Macaca mulatta: one gene and its partners. Each later gene encodes a partner of the first gene's protein in a complex. Links are inferred from orthologs where the notes say so. Each region holds a gene or a part of one and is shown in the gene's direction. Other genes may lie near its edges. The genes, in order: LAMTOR1, FNIP1 and LAMTOR2.

What was found.
Region 2: LAMTOR1 (region 1) and FNIP1 share a complex: the UniProt entries of both Homo sapiens proteins name them as parts of the lysosomal folliculin complex. The link is inferred for Macaca mulatta from reciprocal best matches to the Homo sapiens genes LAMTOR1 and FNIP1.
Region 3: LAMTOR1 (region 1) and LAMTOR2 share a complex: the UniProt entries of both Homo sapiens proteins name them as parts of the ragulator complex. The link is inferred for Macaca mulatta from reciprocal best matches to the Homo sapiens genes LAMTOR1 and LAMTOR2.

What each region holds. Positions count from the first base shown.
Region 1 is NC_133419.1:72,394,730-72,398,476, reverse strand, and holds the end of LAMTOR1 (ragulator complex protein LAMTOR1), read left to right. Parts: intron 1-1,553; coding exon 1,554-1,699; intron 1,700-1,951; coding exon 1,952-2,029; intron 2,030-2,391; coding exon 2,392-2,518; intron 2,519-2,892; coding exon 2,893-2,985; 3' UTR 2,986-3,517; downstream 3,518-3,747. UniProt on the Homo sapiens protein: Key component of the Ragulator complex, a multiprotein complex involved in amino acid sensing and activation of mTORC1, a signaling complex promoting cell growth in response to growth factors, energy levels, and amino acids.
Region 2 is NC_133411.1:140,591,945-140,595,591, reverse strand, and holds part of FNIP1 (folliculin-interacting protein 1), read left to right. Parts: intron 1-1,387; coding exon 1,388-1,557; intron 1,558-3,647. UniProt on the Homo sapiens protein: Binding partner of the GTPase-activating protein FLCN: involved in the cellular response to amino acid availability by regulating the non-canonical mTORC1 signaling cascade controlling the MiT/TFE factors TFEB and TFE3.
Region 3 is NC_133406.1:110,879,794-110,883,540, reverse strand, and holds the start of LAMTOR2 (ragulator complex protein LAMTOR2), read left to right. Parts: upstream 1-1,322; 5' UTR 1,323-1,447; coding exon 1,448-1,515; intron 1,516-1,820; coding exon 1,821-1,983; exon of another isoform or gene 1,984-3,001; intron 3,002-3,747. Other genes in the region: UBQLN4 (ubiquilin-4), read right to left, coding at 162-269. UniProt on the Homo sapiens protein: As part of the Ragulator complex it is involved in amino acid sensing and activation of mTORC1, a signaling complex promoting cell growth in response to growth factors, energy levels, and amino acids.

The sequences.
Region 1 (3,747 bases):
GCTTGAGAAAGAAGAGTAAGGTGAAAAGGCTGGGCCTCCCTAAGCAGGGCAGGAGGAAGTAGCCCTCTACAAGGAGAGTTGTGGAGTTGTGGGCAGGGGAGCTGGAGCCTGCAGCAGGAAAGACTGAGGAACTGAGACAGGCCTGGAGGGGAGCATTGAGGAGTCTGACACTGAAGGTTGGTGAGTCAGCATTAGCCAGGATGTCCCCCTGGGCCCATCCTTGGCTTTGTCCAGGGCACTCTTGCTCTTTATGGGTTGGATAGATACCCAGCAGGTTTGTTTTTCCAATTTACCACTGATAACAGCAATCAAGGATTTGCAGCTGATGGACTCAAGGCAGGGTCAAATCCAGAAATATTACAGTAGATAGAACAGGGGACTGAAACAGGACAAGTAGTAAGACCAAACCAGTGAGGAAGCTTGGTTTGGTCTTACGTTAGTTCAGGGGTTGTGATTATCAGCATAGGCCAGCAGTAACAGGGCTGCTGAAAATTTACATGGGCTACTCAGGTGGTTTAGCAAGGGCGGGAATAGCTCCATTGTTGTTTGTTTTGAGATGGGGTCTTGCTCTCTTGCCCAGGCTGGAGTACAGTGGCACAATCCTAGCTCACTGCAGCCTCAAACCCTGGGTTCATACAGTCCTCGCACTTCAGCCTCCCAAGTAGCTGGGACTGCAGGGCTCACACTACCAAGTCCAGCTAATTTTTTATTTTTTTTGTAGAGACAAGGTCTTGCTTTGTTGCCCGGGCTGGTCTCAAACTCCTGGACTCAAGCAATCCTCCTGCTTTGGGCTCCCAAAGTGTTGGGATTCCCAGTATGAATCACCACACACGGGTACAGCTCTACTGCTCAGATCAGGATACACCTCGTACACTCAGTTTGATTCTGGGAGTCACACAGAAAAAGAGCACCAGAGCACAAGAGGGTGAACACCTTCCTAGGGACCTGCCTTCAAGAAGGGAACACACTTGTACTGTGTGACCCAGAGCTGGGCTGGGATTCCTGCCCTGACATAATTTGAGAAATGGCCATGGAGAGGTTGGGCTTGCTTTCCCTTGGGGCCTAGGGCCTTGTCTGGACTCACCAGGGCTTCCATCTTGGAAGGAAACAGCTTTGCTGCGGAGGGCCTGGTCCTGGGGGATGAGGAGGGCTGTTCTTGGGCTCCTGACTTGCACTGGTTTCCCCTTTAGCTCCCATTGCTTTGCTATGTCTCAGCTCCTCTGTCTTCCAGCCTCTAGTATCCTTTCTCTGCCAGGTCCTAGAATGTTTTTCAAGCTCCAGGGCTGTTGCTGACTATCTGCTTTGTGCCTCTGTCCCTTTTTTCAGGGCCTCTAGGACTGCCTGGCTCCACTCTCGTTTATCCTAGAACACCAACTCAGCTGAGCTCCCAAGGATAGGCAGGAACTGAGTCTTATCTGGCATTCCATAAAGCTGGGCACTTTGGATATTCCTTATAGAAATATTTTTGGTGTTTAAGGTCAGAGCTGGGCTGACCCATGAAAGGCAGGATCTAAGGGTCCTGGGGCTGACTTCTCTCCCATGACCACTTCTAGGACCGAGAGGAACGGAAGCTGCTGCTGGACCCTAGCAGCCCCCCTACCAAAGCTCTCAATGGAGCCGAGCCCAACTACCACAGCCTGCCTTCCGCTCGCACTGATGAGCAGGCCCTACTCTCTTCCATCCTTGCCAAGACAGCCAGGTAAATGTCAGAGGACCAGGCCTGGGTCAGAGCTCCTCTATCCATATTAAAGGCCAGGATAGAAGGAGCGAGGCTCAGGACATGGGGGATGGGATAAGGTCACTGGAGAGAGGTGCCTCCATGTCCAGCCCTGCTCCAGTAGGCACGAGGGAAACTGGAGTCAGATAACCCTGGAGTTGGTACCTGGCACTGAGTCCTGTTTGTCCTTCTCAAAAGCACCTGTCATGTCATCTCTGTCTCTTCTCCCTAAAGCAACATCATTGATGTATCTGCTGCAGACTCACAGGGCATGGAGCAGCATGAGTACATGGACCGTGCCAGGCAGTACAGGTGAGCACCTGGCCAGGGTGGGTCCCTCAGGCTACTTGGGCTCCTACCCTCCATCACTGTTCCAGCTTCGGAGCCTGGCCCCTAGTCCAAGCTTCTCATTTGGTGCAGCCCTGGAGACTGACCACAGATCACTTGGGTGCTTCAGTAAATATTCATGTCAGCCCTGTTTACCCTGTGACACTCTCGAGGGCATTGAGGCCAAGGGAGGTGGGCCTAGAGTGAGTCTGTGATGAGCTGAGACCTTCCCTCCCAGATACCCCCCTCAGCACCCTGCTTCTCTGGCCTGAGGGGATGAGGCTTACCTGGGCTGGGCAGGGCAAACTGTGGCTTAACTGCGTACCCCCACCCCCTCTCTCGGTCAGCACCCGCTTGGCTGTGCTGAGCAGCAGCCTGACCCATTGGAAGAAGCTGCCACCGCTGCCGTCTCTTACAAGCCAGCCCCACCAAGTGCTGGCCAGTGAGCCCATCCCGTTCTCTGATTTGCAGCAGGTGAGACACCCCTTGCCTGCCCCTGCCCACCCTTCCCACACTGCCCAGGGTGTGGCAGAGGGTTCACCCACTCTGCCTCAGAGGAGGTAGGGAAGATGGAGTTAGGGAGCCTGGTAGCCTTGTGGGCCCCAGTTCCCTCTCACCTCGTTCTCTTAACATATGTCTTTCCTATCTCCTTCCCGCAACCTTTATTGTTTCACTCCCCTTTGTTCTTTTCCTTCTGTCTCTCCCATCCCTGTCTTTCTCTCTGCCTTCCTGTTCCCCATCATTCCCTCCTTCTCCTTCATCACCATCTAATCTCCCCTCCCTCTTTTTCCTGATCGGCCTCCTCACCTGTCTCTGTTCCTCTCCTCCCCGGTCCCTCTCTGTCTTAGGTCTCCAGGATAGCTGCATATGCCTACAGTGCACTTTCTCAGATCCGTGTGGACGCAAAAGAGGAGCTGGTTGTACAGTTTGGGATCCCGTGAAGAGAGGGGTCCTTGGACAGCTCTTCTCCTCTCTTCATCCCATCTCTACCCCACCCCCTTGGCCCCCAGCCTCACTGCGGCTTATATAGTACCCTAACCTGCTACTAATCACAGAGAAAAATGTGAAGAAGGAGGAGAAGAGGAAGGCTGGAAGCCTGAGCAAGTGAGGGTAGAACCTTTTGGGACTGGCCTTTGAAGCTCTGGCCAGGGATAGGGTGGGGGCCAAAAGGACAGAGCCTGGTATGTCGTCATAGTCATTGAGAATGTGGAGACACCAGTTTGGGTGGGGGGTGATCACCAGGGGACCTAGGGAGATCCCCTTCCCACCCTCTCTCTTGGCCTCAAAGTCACTCCTGCCCCCTCTCCCTGACTTGGTGCTCACATGCACCTCACGAGGGTTTGTGACCAGGGTCTGGATGAGCTTGAATTTGAATGAATTGAGTTTGTATTTCTAGAACCCTGGGTTTTTACATGTTTGGTCTTTTTTTTGTTTTGGTTTGTCACCCTCGATAAAGGAAGTATATTCATCCATGTGCTGGTTCTGGCCCCTCTGTCCTATTCATTCTACTTTTGACTACTCAGGTCTATGAGAGTAAGATGGGGGGCAGGGGGCATCTTGCAGAGGCACTGAAGATGAATCCAGGAGATAAGGGTTTAGGGTGTCAGCTCCTAGCTGAGACCTGGCTTGGGCTAACCTCAGATTGGATGAGACTGTTCTTGTCCCTTGTCCAGTGATGATGGGAACACTGTCAAAGCTGAACA
Region 2 (3,647 bases), on another chromosome or scaffold:
TTTGAAATTATATTATTAATCAAAATTAATAATCAGAATTCTAAAAAATAATTAAATGATAGGGTATGGAAGAATATTACAGAACCTTATGAATGAAAAGCAGTGAAAATGTCTGTAATTATGTAATTAAAATTCCTGACATAGAATTGTCTGAGGCTGCCCATTTTTTTGTGAATTGTATCCACTTATAGTTTTATTTCATAGAAAAGAGGTAGAAAACATGTAAGGATGGCCAGGCGTGGTGGCTCACACCTGTAATCCCAGCACTTCGGGAGGCCGAGGTGGGTGGATCATGCGGTCAGGAGATCGAGAGCATCCTGGCTAATACGGTGAAACCCCATCTCTACTAAAAATACAAAAACATAATTAGCCAGGCGTGGTGGTGGGCTCCTGTAGTCCCAGTTACCCGGGAGGCTGAGACTGGAGAATGGCATGAATCCAGGAGGTGGAGCTTACAGTGAGCCGAGATCATGCCACTGCATTCTAGCCCGGGCGGCAGAGCCAGACTCTGTCTCAAAAAAATAAACAAACGAAAAAAAACATGTAAGGAAATGCTAGGATTTTAGTGATGCATTTTCAGTGTGATGTTTTATCATACTGTTTTCTTTTAACTATTCAAGTCTTTGGAATCCAGATGAGTAATTCAGATGTTTTTATTCTCTTTGATGATAGACGGAGTTTGCTCAATACTTTGCCTCGTTTTCCCATTCAGTAATTTGGAAATGTAAGGACCTGCTGGTTGATTCAGTAATGAATTGTGTGATTAAACACTGAAAATAATCCATAATGGGCCTGGCACGGTGGCTCACGCCTGTAATCCCAGCACTTTGGGAAGCCGAGGCGGGTGGATCATGAGGTCAGGAGATCGAGACCATCCTGGCTAAGACCATCCTGGCTAACAGGATGAAACCCCGTCTCCACTAAAAATATAAAAAATTAGCCGGGCGTGGTGGCGGGTGCCTGTAGTCCCAGCTACTCGGATGGCTGAGGCAGGAAAATGGCATGAACTGGGGAGGCGGAGCTTGCAGTGAGCTGAGATTGCGCCACTGCACTCCAGCCTGGGCAACAGAGCGAGACTACATCTCAAAAAAAAGAAAAAGAATCCATAATTTTTGAAGTAAAAGGGCATTTCTGTTTTGTACTTATGATCTACAATAGCTCTTTTGAATGTTACCTTTATTTTAAGTAGTTTTTAACTCCTTCTCAACCGGAAACAATTAACTTTCATTTTAATCCTGGTGTTATATACTCATCCTTTCCACTCTCCTCTGCTTTTTTTGGTGCCATTTGGCCACATGAACATATATACTCTTCTTGCTTACTTTGTCACTACATAAAGGTTTCATGAAGGCAGATTGGAATTTGATCAGATGTATTTTGTTTTCAGATTCTTGCCAGCTCTCATTACTGCAGTTCTGACTAATCATCTTGCCTGGGTTCCAACAGTCATGCCAAATGGACAGCCACCTATAAAAATATTTTTAGAAAAGCATTCCTCTCAGAGTGTGGACATGTTGGCAAAGACTCATCCATATAACCCACTTTGGGCACAACTGGGTATGTAATCTGACAACTGTTACAGTATATATTAAACTTGTTTTGTAGCTATCTGTAATATTTTTATAGCAAAACCAAAAATAAATAAAATGCCTTTACCTCCTGCATTCTAAAGCATCTCTGCTTTGCTTGTCCTTTCATGTCTGGCAATTTATCCTATCCTCATCTTAGACCTGAAATCATTCCTTATAGATGAAGAACTGCAGGTATGGCAAGAGGAGCAGGCTAATAGCTGGTTTACTAGTAACTCCAGATTTTCAGGGTGTTTTATGATTTTGTACTTTGTGTTAGGTACTTTGCAAGAAAGAATGAATCAACAAAGTCACCTGTGATACCTAAAATAAATCTGGTTAGGAGGGAAGCAGTTCACTGAGGTTTCTGTTGATCCACTTTTGTTCACTTGCTGAGTCATTTTGGAAAATGTTTCCCTCAGTGTTAAACACCACTAAACAAGTGGGGGAAGAGGGGAGAGTAAGTGGTTGATAAGTTCATAGGCAATAGGGAGGGATTATAGCAGAGTGCTAAAGACACAGGCTGTGGAGTCAGGCACACCACGTTTGAATCACAGTTTCCTTATTCATAAAGTGGGAATAATAATAGATGATACATACTTTAAAAGTTGTAAAAATTAAATGAGATAATACATGTAAAATGGTTAAGACTGTCTGGTAAACGTAGCTGCTAGTTATTTCTGCTCCTACTCTATTGCTGTTAGATGATGGGAGAAGAGTAAGATGAGAACATTTTGGTGATTGGGTAGTAACTTTCCTTAGGTTGCTCTGGTGATTGACCTTGCCAGGTAGATTGTCATATGGCTTATCAGTTCATATAACCAACCTCCTTCCCTATTGGCTTTCTCCCTTGCTCCCTCCCCCATTCCCTTCCATTTTATTGAGTTATAATTGACATATAGTAAATGCATTTTTTTAATGGAGTCTCACTCTTGCCAAGGCTGGAGTACAGTGGCATGATCATGGCTCACTGCAGCTCCAATCTCCCTGGGATCAAATGATCCCCCTACCTTAGTCACCCAAGTTGCTGGGACTACAGGTGCATACCACCACACTAGGCTAGTTTTTGCATTTTTTGTAGAGATGGGGTTTCGCCATGTTCCCCAGGCTGCTCTCAAACTCTTGGACTCAAGCGATCTGCTCACGTTGGCCTCCCAAGGTGCTGGGATTACAGATGTGAGCCATCACACCCGGCCCAACACATATTTAAAGTACACAATTTGGGCTGGGTGCGGTGGCTCACGCCTGTAATCCTAGCACTTTGGGAGGCTGAGGTGGGTGGATTACTTGAGGTCAGGAATTCGAAACCAGCCTGGCCGACATGGGGAAACCCTGCCTCTACTAAAAATACAAAACAATGGCCAGGTGCAGTGGCTAACGCCTATAATCCCAGCACTTTGGGAGGCTGAGGCGGGTGGATCACAAGGTCAGGAGATTGAGACCATCCTGGCTGACACGGTGAAACCCCATCTCTATTAAAAATACAAAAAATTAGCCGGGCATGGTGGCGGGCGCCTATAGTCCCAGTTATTCGAGAGGCTGAGGCAGGAGAATGGCGTGAATCCAGGAGGCGGAGCTTGCAGTGAGCTGGGATCGCACCACTGCACTCTAGCCTGGGCAACAGTGCAAGACTCCGTCTCAAAAAAAAAAAAAAAAAAAAGAAACCAAAAAAACAATTAGCTGGGCATAGTGGCAGGCGCCTATAATCCCAGCCACTTAGGAGGCTGAGGCAGGAGAATCCCTTGAACCCGGAGGCAGAGGTTGTAGTAAGCCGAGATCATGCCACTGCACCACAGCCTGGGCAACAGAACGAGAATCTGTCTCAAAAAAAAAAAAAGCAATTTGATAAGTTTCGCATATATGCCTCTGAAACCATGACCACAATCAAAACAGTAATCATATTGCATCATTTCCAAAAGTTTCCTTATGCCTTTTTGTAATCTCTTCCTCTTCCTCCCCCTCTTCTTCTCCCCAGTTTCTCTGTTCCTCTTCCACCATCCCTACACAGCCACTGGCTTACTTTCTGTCATGATAGATTACTTGCATTTTCTAGAGTTTTATATGAATGGAATCATGCAG
Region 3 (3,747 bases), on another chromosome or scaffold:
GCGCCCCCTACCCGACTCTCCTTCCCTTCAGCTCCTCGGAGTCCCAGCTGGCCCCCGCTCTCCTCTCCGGGGCCCTCCAGGACGCCAGACCGTCAGGGAGGCCCCCATCTCTTCGCAGACCCCTCCTCCGCGCTCCCCCCGCCTCCCGCCTGCTGTACTACCTCCTTGACCGAGGCTCGATCGCAGATCACAATTTCCTCCTTGTCCTTAGGGGTCTTGACGGTGACCCGAATAGGGGGCCTCGTCTCGGCCCCGCTCGGCTCCGCCATGCCGCCGCCGCCACCCGGCCGCCCGCCAGCCCGCCCGGCTCCTCCTCCTCCCCGCCCGCCCGGCCGGCCCGGCTCGGCTCCTGCGCCTCCAACACTCCCCTCTCTCCACCTCTCCCCTCCCCTCCCCTCCCCTCCTCTCCCCTCCCCTCCCTGAGGCTTCACCGCCCCCTCCAGACCAGCCGCAGCCACAGCGCCCCGGGCGGACCGGGGGGGCCACTGCAGCGGGGTCCGCCCAGGGCCAAGCCCCAGGTCCGGAATCCGGCCAGGGTCTCGCCAAGCTGGGGCTCCTGGGGAGGCTCTGGGCGGGGGAAGGGACGTGCCCTTCACTGCGGGGGCGAGGGCGAACTCCCCGGGAGACCGCGGCCCAACGCTGCTCGCCCGAGCCGTGCCGCCGTCCCCTCCGGCCCAAAGCCTCCCCGCCCCCTCCGCGGCTAACTCTGCTCCGGGACAAAGGACTTTGTGTGTCGCCGCTTTATCTCCGTTCCCTGTGATAACTTGGTCTTTCTTGGAAGCCCCAAGTCCCTTCCAGGCCAGGGGCCTTTCCCGACTTGGAGGTTGGGTTTCCCACCAAGCACGTCCACTTAGGATCTCAGCTCTAGGACTGACCCTATAGCCCCGAGGGTCGCGGCCTAAATGGTCTGTTGCGAACGGTTCCAGGGAGCTGGGTTTTGGCTGCGTGGCCTTTCAGAGCCTTGATTTCCTCAAGATAATAATAGTACCTCTCGCCTCATCGCACAGAATTGTGCATAACGGAGAAAACTGTTTTGAAAGTAACCAAAGGCGCGCCTGACAAATATGAGGATGTAGTATAATTATTGAATCGTGGACTGCCAAGCGGACACGTTGATTCCTTTCTCCCCGAAGGGGTTAAATGTCCTTCCAGCGCTGCAGCTGTCCTTTCACTCCCGCTCTTTTCCGCCCCCACAACCGCGTGGTCCGCCTGGAAAGGCGAACTATAGTTCCCATGGTGCCTCGCGAGGTCACGAGGAACTACGATTCCCAGAGACCCCCGCGGCGGGGCGGTGTTGAGTCGGAACCACAATAGCCAGGCGAGGAAACTACAACTCCCAGGGCATCCCGGAGCAGGCCAACGGGACTACGGGAAGCAGCGGGCAGCGGCCCGCGGGAGGCATCTCGGAGGATCTGGGTGCAAAAACCCAGGGTTAGGAGCGGTAGGCATGCTGCGCCCCAAGGCTTTGACCCAGGTGCTAAGCCAAGCCAACACTGGAGGCGTCCAGAGCACCCTGTGAGTGCGGACCACGGACCCCAGCGGCGCGCGCTGCAGTGGAGCGGCGTGCGACTCCCTGAGGGAGGGGTGGGGAAGGATCGCCCGGAAGGGAGGAGGCGTCAGAGGGGGCAGTGGCTGGGGGTACCGGCCGGGAGGTCACCTCTCGAAAAGGGAGGCCGGTGTGCTGGGTGCTTAGGGCACGTTCCGGGACACACTCAGCCGAGAGCCTTGCTGGATGTGCCCGTGGCGGGACTTGAGATGGAAACCCAGACGTTTTACTCCCCGCGCTGAGCACATCGTTATCCCTCCCCGCCCCTCACCAGGCTGCTGAATAACGAGGGATCACTGCTGGCCTACTCTGGTTACGGGGACACTGACGCCCGGGTCACCGCTGCCATAGCCAGTAACATCTGGGCCGCCTACGACCGGAACGGGAACCAAGCATTTAATGAAGACAATCTCAAATTCATCCTCATGGACTGCATGGTATGGAGAGGGGAGCCAGACTTCCCCTGTCCCCCAAGGGGATCCCAAGGGGGCGACCTGGACCCCATCCTGGATGGTTGGAGGGGCAGGGACAGGATCTCCGGAAGATTACTAAGAGTTGGTCTGCAGCAGCATTTGTAATAGGCAGGACCCTATTCATCAAGTGGTGGTGAGGAAGGAGCCCTGGACCTGAGAGGTCTGACTTGGGTTCTGGTCTCAGCCATCCACTTATCAGTTGTGGAACCTTGGGTAAGTCGCTTAACCTCTCTCAGCTTCCTTACCTCATGTCTAAGGAGAAGACAATTTCCCTCTCCCCGCTTCCCTCGTGGGTTGTTGTGAAGGTCAAATGAAATAATGGGTATAAACAGTAGAATGACGTGCAAACACAAAGTGTTGTCATCCCAGCTTCACCGACTCACAGAACCATGGCAGTCTCCAGACCCTAGTCCAACCCCTTAAGGTTACAAAGAAAGGAAAATGAAGTCCAGAAAGGGGAAGTCGCCATTAGACTGTGAACTTCCTAGTATCTGTTCAGTTAACAAATATTTAGGTCCTTGCAGTGTTCTCAGGACTAGGGAAAAAAAACAGCAAACAGAAAGACAAAACCCCCAGACCTAATAAATCTTACACAGTGATGCGATCACAGCTCACTGCAGCCTCGACCTCCCTGGGCTCAGGTGATCCTGCTGCCCCAGCCTCCTGAGTAGCTGTGACTACAGTCATGCACCACCACACCTCACTAAGTTTTGGATTTTTTGCAGAGACTGGGTTTTGCCATGTTGCCCAGGCTGGTCTCAAACTCCTGGCTCAAGTGATCCACCCACCTCGGCCTCCCAAAGTGATGGGATTACAGGTGTGAGTCACTGTGCCCGGCCACATTTTTTAAAATAAGTAAAATATGTAGTATATATTAGGTATTGAAATTGCAATGGAGAGAAAGCAGGGAAGTTAAAGAGTATGAGTTTGTTGGGCGTATGTGTCAGGGACAGTCTCACTGGAAAGGTGATATTTGATCAAAGATGTGAAGAAAGGTGGGGGACAAGCCATGTGGCTATCTGAGGGAAGAATATTTTGGACAGAACAGCAAGTACCAAGGCCCTGAGGCAGAATTATGCCTGCTCAAGGATCAACAGGGTTGGTTGGTATGGCTGGAGTTGCATGAGAATGGAGGAGGGTTAAGTAGGAGATAAGGTCAGAGAGGCAGGGAGTGCAGTGCTTGGTTCCTGGCATACAATGAATACCTAGTAAAAGTTTGCCGAACTTACTTTTGTTTTTTTCAAATCGGCCAGAGGGTGAACTCTCCAGGAAGGATCTTCATAGTAACTCAACTGCCTACTCTCCCCTACCCCCTGCACAACCAATGCCATTTTTAGTTCAACATAAGACTCCTACTGGATGCCTAGAGCTGGTGCTATAAGGAAATAGCTTTCAAACGTTTTGACCACAACCCAGCCATAAGAAATATATTTTAAAGGGCCGGCACGGTGGCTCATGCCTGTAATCCCAGCACTTTGGGAGGCTGAGGCGGGCAGATCATGAGGTCAGGTGTTCAAGACCAGCCTGGCCAACATGGTGAAACCCTGTCTCTACTAAAAGTACAAAAAATTAGTCAGGCATGGTGGCATGTGCCTGTAATCCCAGCCACTAAGGAAACTGAGGCAGGAGAATCACTTGAACCCAGGAGGTGGAGGTTGCAGTGAGCTGAGATCACGCCATTGCACTCCAGCCTGGGCAACAGAGCGAGACTCCATCTCAAAAAAAAAA